2 linked regions of the Lytechinus pictus genome follow. The protein of the gene in region 2 purifies or fractionates together with the protein of the main gene of each other region. This does not show direct contact. Links are inferred from orthologs where the notes say so. Each region holds a gene or a part of one and is shown on either strand. Other genes may lie near its edges.

What was found. The genes of interacting proteins can lie anywhere in the genome.
Region 1: the proteins of E3 ubiquitin-protein ligase AMFR-like (region 2) and ubiquitin-associated domain-containing protein 2-like purify together in Homo sapiens (affinity purification with western blotting; 4 studies listed by BioGRID and IntAct, with this or other methods). This does not show direct contact. The link is inferred for Lytechinus pictus from reciprocal best matches to the Homo sapiens genes AMFR and UBAC2.

Annotation. Positions count from the first base shown.
Region 1 is NC_087260.1:29,144,902-29,152,251, forward strand, and holds the start of ubiquitin-associated domain-containing protein 2-like, read left to right. Parts: upstream 1-4,242; 5' UTR 4,243-4,331; coding exon 4,332-4,368; intron 4,369-7,350. UniProt on the Homo sapiens protein: Restricts trafficking of FAF2 from the endoplasmic reticulum to lipid droplets.
Region 2 is NC_087246.1:24,895,997-24,903,585, reverse strand, and holds the start of E3 ubiquitin-protein ligase AMFR-like, read right to left. Parts: upstream 3,049-7,589; coding exon 3,037-3,048; intron 792-3,036; coding exon 627-791; intron 1-626. Other genes in the region: uncharacterized protein LOC135157617, read left to right, coding at 5,594-7,589. UniProt on the Homo sapiens protein: E3 ubiquitin-protein ligase that mediates the polyubiquitination of lysine and cysteine residues on target proteins, such as CD3D, CYP3A4, CFTR, INSIG1, SOAT2/ACAT2 and APOB for proteasomal degradation.

The sequences.
Region 1 (7,350 bases), on a different chromosome or scaffold from region 2:
AATCGAAATCACCTTTTTATGTCATGAAGATCAACCAAATTGATCTTTATTAATTATTTAATCGATCTAGGGGTGAACTTTGGTGGACAGAAAAGGAGAACGGGGTCTAAGATGCCCCGAAACATTGGGCGTGCATCGACATACGTTATAATCCGATTAGTTAACTTCGTATGGGCTCGTAATAAATTCGCCAAAAATCAAAATCAGCCCATATCTCTTGTGACTCCATAATTTATGATATATCTTTATCCATTCATTTGGCGATTTAAGGTTGAAAAATAATGCACCAAAAAGGGAGACGGTGTGTAGGAAGCCCGTAAACTGAAGGCAGTGTATATTGACATATCCGATTAGTTTAATTTCTGTAGGCCTGGAATCGTATTCAATTCGCCAAAAATCGAAATAAACTTTATATCTCTTTTAAACTCAACAAACTTGAACTTTATTAATCTCTGCATCTTATATAGGGGTGAACAGTGATTTATAGAAAAGAGGGATGGGTTTAAAGGTCAAGTCCACCTCAATAAAATGTTGATTTGAATCAAAAGAGAAAAATCAGACAAGCATAATGCTGAAAATTTTCATCTAAACCGGATGTAAAATGAGAAAGTTATGACATTTTAAATTTTCGCTTATTTTATACAAAATAGTACAAATTAGTCACATGCTAATGAGAGAATCGATGATGTCCCTCACTCACTATTTCTTTTGTTTTTTGTTTTTGTTTGAATTATGCAATATTTCAATTTTTACAGATTTGACAATAATAAGGACCAACTCGACTGAAACATATAATGTTAAACAGTGGTAATTCCACATGTTCAGTGAGAAATGAAACTTTGTTTCACAGGACAATGAGGAGAAAATTAGATTATTTCATATTTCTTATAATTAAATACAAAAGAAAAAGTGAGTGATGTCATCAGTTCTCTCAATTGCACACCGACCGGGATGTGCATATAACTATTATGTGAAAATAAGCAAAACTTTAAAATTTCATAGCTTTCTTCTTTTACATCCGATTTTGATCAAAATTTCAGTGTTATATGTTCAATAGGATTTTCCTGTTTTCAAATCAACTTTTTATTGGGGTGGACTAATTGTCCTTTAAGATACCCCGAAAGTGAGGTCAAATAAGTGGGGCGTACTTTGCTTCGCCGGATTTTATTTTCAAGTTTTTAGACACATTCAACTCTTTTTTAAGATGCTTTATTCTTGGCGATAAAACTGGTGATTTGCAGTTTATATTTCAACATTGCTTCAAGTGGCCATGTGGCAGATCCAGGATTTTGTCACATCTTCCTGAAAATTCAACAGCGAAAAAACAGGTCCTTACCATTTAAACATTATATACTCTGTCTTTTAAGGTGAGTGCACAAGTTTTCATTATACTTCTCAAAAATGGAACCGGCCGGATGTTCTCGATCCCCCTTTTAAGATCCATCAGTGATATCAACAAACATGGAGACACAGACAATATTTACGTAATCATGAATAATTGTATAGACTTACATGTAGAAATGCACACAAAATACAACGTTCGGATTAATTCGAATTATATTCAGGTTTTTGTAAAAAAAAATACTTAAATAAGATGTAAAATCAACCAAGAAAACTTAATATGTTTGAATATATATGATTGGAAGAGTTATGGCAAGATAAAAGATGCAGGATGCATGATGAAGTAAAATATAATCTATTTTAGACATTTGAGAGAGAGAAGGAAAGCGAGGAACAAAAGATAAAAAGGGGAGAGAGGGAAGAGATAGAGAATGAGGATAGAAGATATCCACTATCATATAGCATTTATTTCCAAGCGAGACATATGAAATTGGTATAACATGAATGAAAATAACTGTACATGTATATTATATAAAAGTACGGTAAAGATAGATAGATGAACGGTATTTACCATGATAACGTTCAATTCGCAGCCAATTAAAGCTGAATAAGATAGATTTGCACATGCGGAGTAAAATGGCAGTATAAAAACAAATAGTAAAACAATATCAACAAAAACAACGTATATCAATGCATAATATAAGGAAAGGGATGCAAAGATAAATGCATACAAAGGAAGAAAGAATTAAGGGAATTAGAGATCAAGCACTGACTGTGAAGAATTACATTTTATACGGAAAGTTTCCTTCGTTTCACTCCTAATTATTTGTTATTTCGTGTTAAGAAAGGTACCATTTCATACAATCCGCTCTTAACATAGTGAAAAATAACACGGATATGTTATTCTTTCAGTATTGCCCAAAATCATATATAATCATGTTAAAAATATTACTTGTGTTAAAATGCTTTAACTTGAGGCTACTCATATTCCAACAATTCCACTTTGGTTAAATTCGCCGCTAATCGAAATCACCTTTTTATGTCTTGAAAATCAACCAAATTGATCTTAATTAATCATTTCATCGATTTAAGGGGAACAGTGGTGCATAGAAAAGGGGGACGGGGTCTACGATGGCCCGAAAGGTGGGGGTGCATTAATATTGACGAAAATACGGCGCCTGCTATTATGGCGTGCTATATGTCCGTGTATATTCCAACAATTCCACTTTGGTCTGGTAATAAATTCGCCGCTAATCGAAATCACCATTTTATGTCTTAAAAATCACCCAAATTGATCTTTATTAATCACTTCATCGATTTAGGGGTGAACATTGGTGCACAGAAAAGAGAGACGGGGTCTACGATTCCCCGAAAGGTAGGGGGTGCATGGACGAAAATATAGCGCGTGCTATGTATTATATCCGTGTATCCCAACAATTCCACTTTAGTCTGGTAATAAATTCGCCGCTAATCGAAATCACCTTTTTATGTCTTGATAATCAACCAAATTGATTTTTATTAATCACATCATCGATCTAGGGGTGAACATTGGTGCACAGAAAAGGGGGACGGTGTCTACGATGCCCCGAAAGGAGGGGGTGCATTGACGAAAATACGGCGTCTGCTATTATGGCGTGCTATATTATGTACGTGTATTCCAACAATTCCACTTTGGTCTGGTAATAAATTCGCCGCTAATCAAAATCACCTTTTTATGTCTTGATTTGACGAAGTACGCCCTCTAGCGTTATTAGTATACATCTCTATGGCTGGCTTGCTTCAATCAACGAATTGTTAATTAACTAGGGCCCATTTCTCAACACATGGACAAGTTAGTCATATCTTTATCCACCAACCACGGAGTTAGTTCCAATCTTACTAAACATGTTTCTCGAAAGGTTTCCTAACTAGAATACCTTGATATCGATACTATCGGTAGAACGAGCAGACGAGACGTAGCCTTAGTCACAAAATAGCATAATATTAAAAAAGAAAAATTATTACAAAATTGCAAATATTGTGATAAATTGGGAAATAAATCTTTTCAAAATAATAGCACAGGTGAATTATGCATCATACATACTTAGACCATGAAGACTTGAGCATTCAATTGCAGAGAAAATTAAATTATGAATAATTCATTTCATGACTAAAAAATCACTTGTGGACGTTGAGATTGGGTACCCCCGGGATATCCAATTTTAATAGTTTACGAAAGTAAACCATAACGGTTTTCTTTGTAAAATGATGATAATTATGCGGTCTTTTACGATTCCGAACGTCATCAAAATATAGTTTAACGAAACATTTTTAACCATTGATACCGAAACATACGATATTTGACAAATTATATGCATAAATTAGAGATTAGAATTTATCCAACTGTTAATAGGGGTCTGAAAACAACAAATACGAGTTCAGTTATGGATGGCCTGACGTGGTAGAATATTTATCGATTAAATCATTTTACTATTTCAAAATGAATGGTTTTGTGGCGTTTTACCAATAGTTTTTATAGTTTCTTTGTATTACAATTATCATTGAATGCATTAACCCACTTGTTTTGTGATGTAATTTCAACCTCTATGATTGATTACGTAAGATTATAATTTTAAAATTTATATGCGCTTTTGCATGTCATAGTCTACCCACGTGATGCCACTACGTCATTAAGAAAGAAGTTATGACAGGTTCGGAGGTGTCATAAATATTTAGTGAGGTTGTTGTACCCGATCTTGGTAAAGAGGGCTTCGTGAAACGGTTAGCGGACAAGTAGCTCACTATCTCCGATTTAGTCAAGAAGTTAGACTTATGACGGTGTTGAGAAACGGGCCCCAGTGTCTGTACTGTAGCTGTGCGCAGCTGGGTTTGTGCGCTGGCGCTGGCTTCAGCTAGCCTGGCATGCGTGAAACACGGATCTTGAAGTTCGGATTGTAAATCAACCCAGGAATCCAACTGAGATTTTTTAGCTTGTCTAAATCGATTTAAAGATGTCACAGCCATACAGTTCATCAGGGTTTTGTGAGTGTAAATCTTCTTCTTGAAATATTTATATTTTGAATGTTCACGACTATTTCCCGCAAAATAAGCGCAATTATGTCACCGTTGCTTTTCATGAAAATGAAAAATCACAGTCCCATACATTGAATACCTTGTATTATGATTTATGTTAGACCAAAAGCTTCGGTCTCTGTTATTGTTAATATGTTGGTTGTTCAGCTGAACTCCGTTGGCTTCACTCACCAAATACAGAGACCGAAGTTCTAGCGCGATCTGTACAGGGGACTCAATGGCCATATGTTTATGTACTTAAGATTGGATAAAACGGGGAAGTGAATTTACGCGACAGCTGAGGTAAGTCTGTTTTTGTTCCTTTTAACTTGATTTTTCTCAGTTTTTTGGCAATTAATGCCAAGAGGGAATATTAATTTGCATTTTGGTCGCGTTAATTTTCAAAAACTTTATTCATATTTAAAGACAAGAATTGAAGAGCCCAGACGGGGGGATTTTGCATTGCAAGTCCCCTAATGGTGGCTGCACGCTAGCTAACCTAGCCAGGCGGCTTCTAGAGAGTAAAAATCATTTACTAACGTAAGGTCACTCTCATGAAGCCAGGGCTTCCGTCATATACTTTTGTGTGTACCACCAAAAAACCTGAAACTTTCGCCCCCGAGATTTCTACTTTCTTTCTAAAAGATCTAGCCCTAAATCATGTACATGGGATAAAACTTCATTTCCGACATTTCTACGCTCTCGTTTTTATTTTTGAACAAGAATTCATCAAAAAAATGAGAGAAATATTGTGTAAAGACGGAAGAGACTTGCCCAATGTTTACGCCGCCATCTTGTTTCCTATTGTTCTTCGCCAACGTTACAGACGCGTGACACAATATTTCTCTCATTTTTTTGATGAATTCTTGTTCAAAAATAACAACGAGAGCGTAGAAATGTCGGAAATGAAGTTTTATCCCATGTACATGATTTAGGGCTAGATCTTTTAGAAATAAAAGTAGAAATCTCGGGGGCGAAAGTTTCAGGTTTTTTGGTGGTACACACAAAAGTATATGACGGAAGCCCTGGCTTCATGAGAGTGACCTTACGTTAGTAAATGATTTTTACTCTCTAGAAGCCGCCTGGCTAAGCTAACCCAGAGAGCTCCCGCCCGCGCAGCGGGCGGGAGCCCAGAAGCTTACCGTGTATTTTACCATTGTCACCGGACTAGGGTGATTTACGGTCTAAATATTTCTCCAAATGAATTGTGAAAACAGAAAGTATACAATTACCACGATTATATGGATGAAGGTCTAACGAGTGGCAGATTCCTGACATCTGGGCACAGTCTGGAACCTAAAAAAAACGAAAAGTTCTCTCCTTCTACCCCGTCTCGATCGGCCATTTTTGTTAAAAATCGTAACAAAATGGCCGAGTTTTTTGGTGGTACACACAAAAGTATATGACGGAAGCCCTGGCTTCATGAGAGTGACCTTACGTTAGTAAATGATTTTTACTCTCTAGAAGCCGCCTGGCTAAGCTAACCCAGAGAGCCGGTAAGCTTCTAAGCTTCTGAGCCGGTAAGCTTCTGAGCCGGTAAGCTTCTAGGCCGGTAAGCTTCTGGGCTCCCGCCCGCTGCGCGGGCGGGAGCTCTCTGGGTTACACGCTAGCGAGCCGTCTGTGTATGAGGAGAAATAAAAAAAATAAAAAAATGTTAAAAAACTCCTCGAAACAGACGGCTGCCAGCTGTCTAGATTTATGTAGGCCCTAGTCATGCTAGTACGGTAAATTCCTCACACCCACTCTAGACTAGGCACCATGCCTATCAATTCCTGTGTTAAAATAGTGAGTGCACGCGAATCAGAAGTTGGACTTAAATTACTAGATATTACCATGGAGCTCTATGACGAAATCTATTTTTAAATTAGACCCTAGATACTACTTATGGAAAATAATGTATAAATAGTACTCGCCTGGTCTTTTCTTCACTCTAAGCACCAAGGCTATTAATTCCTGTGTTAAAAAAATGAGTGCACGCGAATTAAATGTTGGACTTAAATTACTAGATCTTACCATGGAGCTCCATGACGAAATCTATTCTTAAATTAGACTCTAGATATTACTAAATTGAAAAAAATGTATAAATAGTACTCGCCTGGTCTTTTCTTGGGGTATTGAAGCCTTTTTGTCCAGAACTTGCTCAACTTTTGCGGCAAATTTTGTCGCCATAGGGTTGTGCACATTCTGGTTTAATACTGGTTGTCACGTGACACGGCAATGTCGTTAGGCTGTTTGGCCTGTATTCAAGGCGTTCTATCCGTTATGATTTTATATTGAATGAAGCAATTTCCATCAGGTATAGGCCCCTATCAAGTCAAAATAAATTAAGAGGCTTTTATAGGAGGAAATTATAATTTGTTAACAAATTTTCGGCATTACTCCTATTTCAAGGCTCCACATTAACTTTTTTTGGTGGTGGCCCGTTCGGGCCACCAAAACCATCAAATAATTTTTTTTGGTGGCCCGATATTAAAGTTTGGTGGCCCGAAAAATATAAAGAAAAACATTAAAAATGAATAAAACAAACTTCTGAAATATTAATTCTGCAGCCACTACCACTAAGTTACTTTCACTTTATACATCTTGTATGTAAACCTTGCTTGCTGTTATTTTACTTTGCTAGTTGATAATTGTTTCTATCGTTGTAAAAATGAAATGATTGAAAGTGAATAAATGAATTGTATTGTTCGCAGGTTGTGTGGACTTTTTTTAAATCTCTGTGTAGAGATAATGGTAAAGTAAATAAATAGTGCATAGCAAACTCAGATAGCTGTACAAAACAATGGTTTTTCCTTTCTTCCTCTTTGAATCCTAAAACCTAGATTATGCATGCCCCAAATCCAGTTTATTTCTGTTTTCTCTTTTGCAATTTGCAGCATATTATAGAAGGCGAAAATCACAGAAAAATATGCTGCAAAATTAGAATAATGCATGAAAGGGGGAAACAAACGAAAATAA
Region 2 (7,589 bases):
CTACATGTAAGCATTAAAAAATAATCAGTGCAGCTTTTATCTGCTTAACTGATGTATGAAATGAGTGGACGTCTGAGAATATTTCATGATGCACCTATCATCAAGTTTCACTGATAACTGTTTACACTTTTGAAATCCTGGCATCTTGAGCAGTTTGCAGACTTTGCAAAGCCTTGGTTGACAAAATGTGCTATAGTGTTTAAAAGACTACATAGATGGGGATCGTGTACATGTACTATAGCTTCTGCAAACTTAGAGTGACACAGATGCTCAATTAAAAATAATAATTAACTAGTAATGGTCATAATTGAATATTCTTGCCCCACATTATGCATCAATTTGTTTTTGATTTATCTCTTTCTGTTATGATTTCTAAAATTTTGCTAGATCTTCCTGAAGATCTACTTGTTGATAGAAGCATTAATCAGTGTGTCTGGACCTGCACTTCTGGGGACTGTTTCATAAAACAATTAGTCTAGGATTTACACTGAAAAATGATACAAGCTACTGAAATCACTGTATCTGATTGGCTTTGAATACACCTACTGTACAAGTAAAAACAAAATAAAAGACAAAATGAAAGACTTCGCTGATAACTCATTAAAACAAAATGGCTCTTTACTCACATATTCAAACCTGTCCTTGGAAAGTTGGGCAAAACCATGAAGGAAAGCTAGAATAGCGAACCATCCAACCCAGAGAACCAACTCCTCTAGAGTCTGAACATTGAGTACACCAAACACCACAATGAGCTTGTAGAAAGAGAAGTTCCACAACTTGTCTCGAAGATGCTAGAAAGAAATATGCAAGGTACAACATTATAAAAGGACAATAGATAATGTTGAAAACAATAAAGGGCACATATTTGGTAAACAAGAAATAGATTTGACGCTAGTGAACAACCATGACCAGTACTTACTCATTCAATTTTCTCAGGTATGTCCCAGGAATGACCAAGATATTTCCAAGAGCCAACCTTACTATCAACCCTTTCATCCACTTTGAATTTATCAATCAATCAATCATGGCAAACTAGTCCTGTCCCATTTCATAAAACTTTTTATAATTACAAATATGCAATAACAGTAATATACGTAAGCTATTGAAATCATTAAATTTGATTGGTTGATGGTAAACTTGTTAGTCTTTATGAAATGGGAAACAGTGCCCCATTGCAGAAAAGCTATCAATCATTATGGTAACTATGCCATCCAGTGGTAACTTGCATGGAATCCTTGATTGGCTGTTGATCAGTGTTACCATGGTAGTTACCATTGGATGGCACAGTTATCAAAATAGAAACTTTTATGCAACAGGGCCCAGATCAAACAAAATCATTTTGATGGTATCTTATGATGTGCAGTGCTTAGTACTTATTAAAAAGCCTGATATAATCCCAAAACTGACCATTACCGTAATTGAAATTTGGGCTACACAGGGATGGCACAAACATGTAAATGTAGGCTTGATAAACAAAGTCTGAACATCATCCAGAATAGTCCAGGATAGAAGGGGTCGAACCTTGTTTTTTTATATATACAATGTTTTTTTATGGTTTCTTGTCAATTAGAGGGTGCTGATTCCGAATCTGAATGATGCCACTCGTGTAACCTTGAGCATTTTCTGCAAATTGGCAAAATCCAATATGGCCGCTAAAATATCCAAATTACCCATGAAAATCATAAAATTGTCCACACATTGGCTATAAAGTACATGCAATTGTGCTGCCGGAGTGAAATAATATCTGAAAAAATTATTTTTGTCAAAATATTTATTTTCTTGATATCAAAATGGCCGCCATCATAGACCCCTGTACAACATGAATGGGGAAAATTAATTTTTACAAACTTGAGCAATGAAAATGCAAGTAATTATAATCTATGAGTGAAGCAATGTCTGAAAACATGATTGCTAACGATATATATCATTTTTTATGTCAGTTATGTGATAAATCCTGTATTTTGATATTCAAAATGGCCTCCAAAAGCCCTAACACTATTATGTACAATGTGAATGGTGACAAAAAAATCACAAGAGTGAGCACTAAAATGCATTTTGTTAAGATAAACGAGTGGAATACTGACTAAAAACATTATTAACGAAATTTATTATTTAACATGCCATGTATGTGATAAACCCTGTATATTGATATTTAATATGGCCGCCAAAGGCCCTAGAATTATGATCTACGATGTGAGAGAGGACAAAAACAATCACAATGTGAGCACTAAAACGCATTTTTTTGTGGTAAATTAGTGGGATACTGTCTTCAAATATAATTTGCAACGAAATATATTATTAAGGGTATCATATTTGTGTTAAATATTGCATTTTCACTTTCAAAATGGCCACCAAAAGACATTGACTGTATTATGTACAATCGATCTGGGAAACCAATTTTCACAGGAGTCAGCACCATAACATGCATATAATTGTGATTTAAGAGTAAAATATTGTCTGAAAACATAATTTTTAACAAGATATATCATTCATTCTGCCAGGTAGGTGATAAATAATGTATTTTGAAAGTCAAAATGGCCGCTACAGGCCCTAACGGTAGGCCTATTATGTACTTTGTGAATGGGAACATATAATTTTAACAGAATTTGGCTTTGCTTGACTAAAATGGTGTTGCATGTATGGATGAAATATTGTCTGAAAATACGATTTCTAACCAAATAGATAATTTCTTATGTTATTTAGGTGATAAATGCTATATTTAAAATTCAAAATGGCTGCAATATGTTTTTTTTGTGTGGAAATTATCTTTCCCCATTCAAATTTTACATATTAAGATAAGGGACTATCGGGCGGCCATTTTTCATTTTTAAAAGGCAGCATTCATCACCTTTATGACACAAGCTATGATATATTTCGTTAGAAATCATTGGGTTTAGACAATACTTAACACTTTTATCAAAATTAAGCCATTTTCGTAGTAAAAATTCTGTCAAAATTAGCTGTCCCCAGTTACAATGTACATACTACTTTTGGCTATTGCATCAATTTTGAATTTTAAAGTAAGGCCTTTATTACCTTCTTAACCATTATGTGATGTATTTAGTCAGAAATCATGTTCAAGACCAAATTTTACCTATACATCACATAGTTACGTGCGTTTTTTGTTCTCATTCTGGTGATTATTAGTTTCCCTATACGCATGTTACAGAATTTATAATGGCTTGTGCGGCCGTTTTGAAAGTCAAAATACAGTATTTATCACCTATATGGGAGAGGAAATGTTATATTTAATAAAAAAAAAATCAAGTTTTCATACAATATTTTCCTTATACAACAGAATTATATGGATTTCATAGTCAGGCAAATCCTAATTCTTCCAAAAGTATTTGTCCCCATTTATTTACATTGTAGATAATACTGTAAGGGCCCATAGGGGCCATTTTGAATTTTACAATACAGCATTTATCTCATACATGAAAAAGGAAATGATATGTTTCGCTAGAAAACATGTTTTGAGACAATATTTCACTCGTAGATTACAATTACATTCATTTTACTGTTTTTAATCTTGTGAAAATTAGTTTCTTCATTCGCTTTGTTCATAATACAGATAGGGCCTATGGCAGCCATTTTGAATGTAAAAATGCAGCATAATTACCGAAATTGCAAGGGAAATGATATGTTTCGTTAGAAATCCTTGTTGTCAGAAAGTGTTTCACCAATATTTCGCAGTTATTGGCATTTTAAAGTCAAACAAATTCAAAGGTTGTGAAAATTATTTGTCCCCTTTTATAATGGGTCTATGACAGTCATTTTGAATATCATAATACAGCATTAATCACATTAGATAGTATACAAATGACATAGTTTTGTTAAAAGTCATGTTTTCAGACAGTAGTCCACTCGCAGGTCACAATCACATGCAATAATAGTGCTCATGTTAAAAAAAAAAATTCCCCATTCATATTCTACATAATAAGGTATACAGGGGTTATGGCGGCCATTTTGAATATCAATAAAATAAATATTTTATCAAATATCGCTTTTACAACGGGTATTTCACTTCTGCACAACAACTACATGCATTTTATAGCTAATGTGTGGGCAATTCTATGATTTTCATGGGTAATTTGCATTTTTTGGCGGCCATATTGGATTTTGCCAATTTGCGGAAAATGCTCAAGGTTACAAGAGTGGCATCATTCATATTCGGAATCAGCACCCTCGAATTGACAAGAAACCATAAAAAAACATTGTATATCTAAAAAAACAAGGTTCGACCCTGTCATGACATGTTGAAGTATATGTGTATTTTTAAATTGTGCGCTTGCGCGTGTCCTTGTACGTAGACTAGTTAGAACAACACGATCGAGTTCGTAAAATCACAGCAGTTTGCTTCATTCAATTGATCACAAGATTTCCTTAGTTTTCACGCTTTATGCTATGCAAGGTATGTTGAGATTTGCTCAAAAACTTTTGTAGATTTAATGAGAATGTGTAGTTTATTAATATCTTTGTATTCCTCTTTTAAATACCTTGTTGAAGAGATTTAGGTTTAGATTATACTTTGAAAATCCATCACACTTTCCAACGAAGGACCTTGCGTATCTTGAATACACGCAGAAGTTCTCTGCGGTCGATATCTTCAAAATGTTGTCTTGTGACACGCAATTCTTAAGATGTACTCATGATTATGACTCTACGAATTTAGAGTATTTTCTTAAATCCAAGTTTATAGGATTTATTGTTGTTTAACATATTTACAAGCCAGTTTAGTTATGCACTATTTTTCCTACTCATTTGATGTGGTATGGTCACAAACTTACGTGCGAGTTGGCTCGCGGATTGATATTTCCAGGAATTTTGGTGTGATCCGCCGCCCGGAGTTTACACGTGTTATAGCAGGGTTTCATGACGTTATTGTTTATCTTTCAGTAGTGATAGTTAATGTTGTCTTACAGTTAATTCTTGTTACTTAGAACTGATGTCTTTAAAATTACATTGCTTACACAAAATTCGTGAAATAATAATTCAATCACCACTAATATTGATAATTGTTTTTCAAGTGAATTTTATTGATTCAGAAGGGAAACAAAACAATAGGAATTTTCTGTTACAGTTTTAGAGATTTAACTGATTAAATCTATACCTTGTTATTTTGAAGACAAATATATTTTTCACAGATGTTTGTTGCTAGATAATTATGATATCTTATCATATAGGGTAGATTTGTTGGAATTGGGAAACAATGATATTAAGACTGAATTAGGAAAGTTTCATTAATTCTCTCTTATTACTTTCAGTTAAATTCTACCTTTGACAGCAAAATGGTTAAAGGGCATGATTGATTATTCCTTATGTCTTTAATGAATATTTTGGGAAAGAATGATGATACATGTACAGAAATGCTTTCTTTACTAAGATATGTTTATCCTTTATTGTTTATTTACAGGAATCTCACACAGTTGTTGAATAACTGAACACTACAATGTTATTAGACATAATCTAATAAATGGGAGCATATAGTTCACAGACGCCTTCCTTGTAGTTCATTGCAACAACGTGTCAGAACTTACGAATTCGTGACATCTTCAACAACTATAGTGTATATCAACCTGCTTCAACTTACATCATGGCTGACGTCAACAAGTTGAAGCTATCAAGACGAAACATCAAGGGTCAGTTGACGCGAACATTATCGACAATTGACAGCCTTACAACAGATGCCGTTGGTGATCTAGACATGTTAAAGAAATACATCACTAAAGCTGAGCAACAATTTGAGAAAGTGGAAGAGAAACATTCGGCGCTGATGGATATCATCGAAGATCAGAGAGAGTATGAGGTGGAGGAGAAATGGATGGGAGAATGTGAAAATGAGTACGTCCAGGTGTTAATACGGGGAAGGAGGGTCGTCGACCGTCAGTCTCAATCTCCCCTGGACAATCAACAGTTTCTCCCCTCTTCACCTACAATTCCACATCCAAGATCCAGTCCAGCTTCATATGCGCCATCTCCTATGCCCCACACCGCTACGTCGGCTGCTCCAAGAATGGCAAGAATGAGATTCCCAACTTTCAATGGGAACCTTCGAGACTACAAGCGTTTCAAAGAATTGTTCACCCACTGTGCAACAGAGTTAACAGAGATGGAATGCTTCCATCAACTGACCGAATCAATGATTAATGTCAAAGAACGCGACAAAATCAAAGGGTGCATTAGTGTTGAACGAGCCTGGCAAGTACTTGATGAGTGTTACGGCGATCAGGACAAAGTAGTAGACAGCCTACTAAAAGATCTAGAGAACCTGAGGACATACGAGATCAAAGGCAAAACAAACCTCCCCGCCATGGGTCATTTTGTCCAGACTCTTCAAAACTTCGAAACCCAAGCTGAGACCATTGGCCTATCTGGAGAGCTTAACAGTAAGATCATGTTGAGTCAGATTAAGCAGAAGCTCCCAGAGGAACACCGCATCGCATATTATAAAGGTGTTAGAGATGACAGGATTGATGATTCCCTCACCGGTCTGGTCAAGTGGTTATACAGCCAACTTTTGCTGCTCGAGAAGGCGAAGCCTAACAGTGGGGACAATTCGCCTAGCCCTCCACAAAGACAACATAAGGTGTATAAGTCTACAAGCGCTGCTTCATATACTTCTGATAACCAGAGCCAACCAAGCAAGGCCAGACACTCCGGGGTCGCCAAGTGTGCCATCCACCCCAATGCAGACTCGCACTACTTGAAGACTTGCAACAAGTTCAAGAGCCTGCCACAGAATGAGAAATATAAAGTAATGAGAAAGAATGGTATCTGTTACCGATGTGGGCATAACAACTGTGTTGCTGGCAAGCCTCCACATGACCAAAACTCTTGTCAGTTTGTTGCTCCATGCAGAGTCCAAACGTGTGGCAGTGACTCACACTTCGCAGCTGTCTGCCCTGTCATATACGGAGAGAGTGGTCAAGGTCCTGCAAACCAAACACGCAACACTATGGAATCTCCACGTTCAACCTCAATCAACGTGACAACAGCCCACACCAACGAGACAGGGAAGCTTCAAAGCACTTTACCTACTGTTGTTGGTTATCTACGATGTGGCGATGTCCGGCACCTGGTGCGCATCCTGTTGGATGGTGGTAGCCAAGCTACACTGTTAAGGGAAGGGATTCTTCCAAGGACAGAGAGAGGCCTTTTCCAGGACCATGATCTGAGTCTTGTTGGTGGCAGCAAGATAACAAGGAAATTGAGACTGTTGGACTGCTACATTGAAGATATTGCAGGGAATTGGTCATGTCCTTTAACCATGACAGAGATAAATCAACCCTGCGGTGATACTCCTATTGTACTACCAGAACAGCTTCGGCAGTATGAGCATCTGAGCGCCATTGATATCCATGCTGCCCCATCCGAAACCATCGACGTACTCCTTGGTGTGGACAACACACACTTGATGATCTGGGAAGAATACATCCTTGGCGAAAAGTTTGATGATCCTGTCGCTGTAAGATGCCCCTTTGGCTGGTTTGTTCAAGGAGGACGGTCTACAAATTCAACTTCACTGCTGAACTACATCAATGTGTCAGCCATTGGACCATTGGAAGAGTTCATAGGTCTGGAGACTGTGG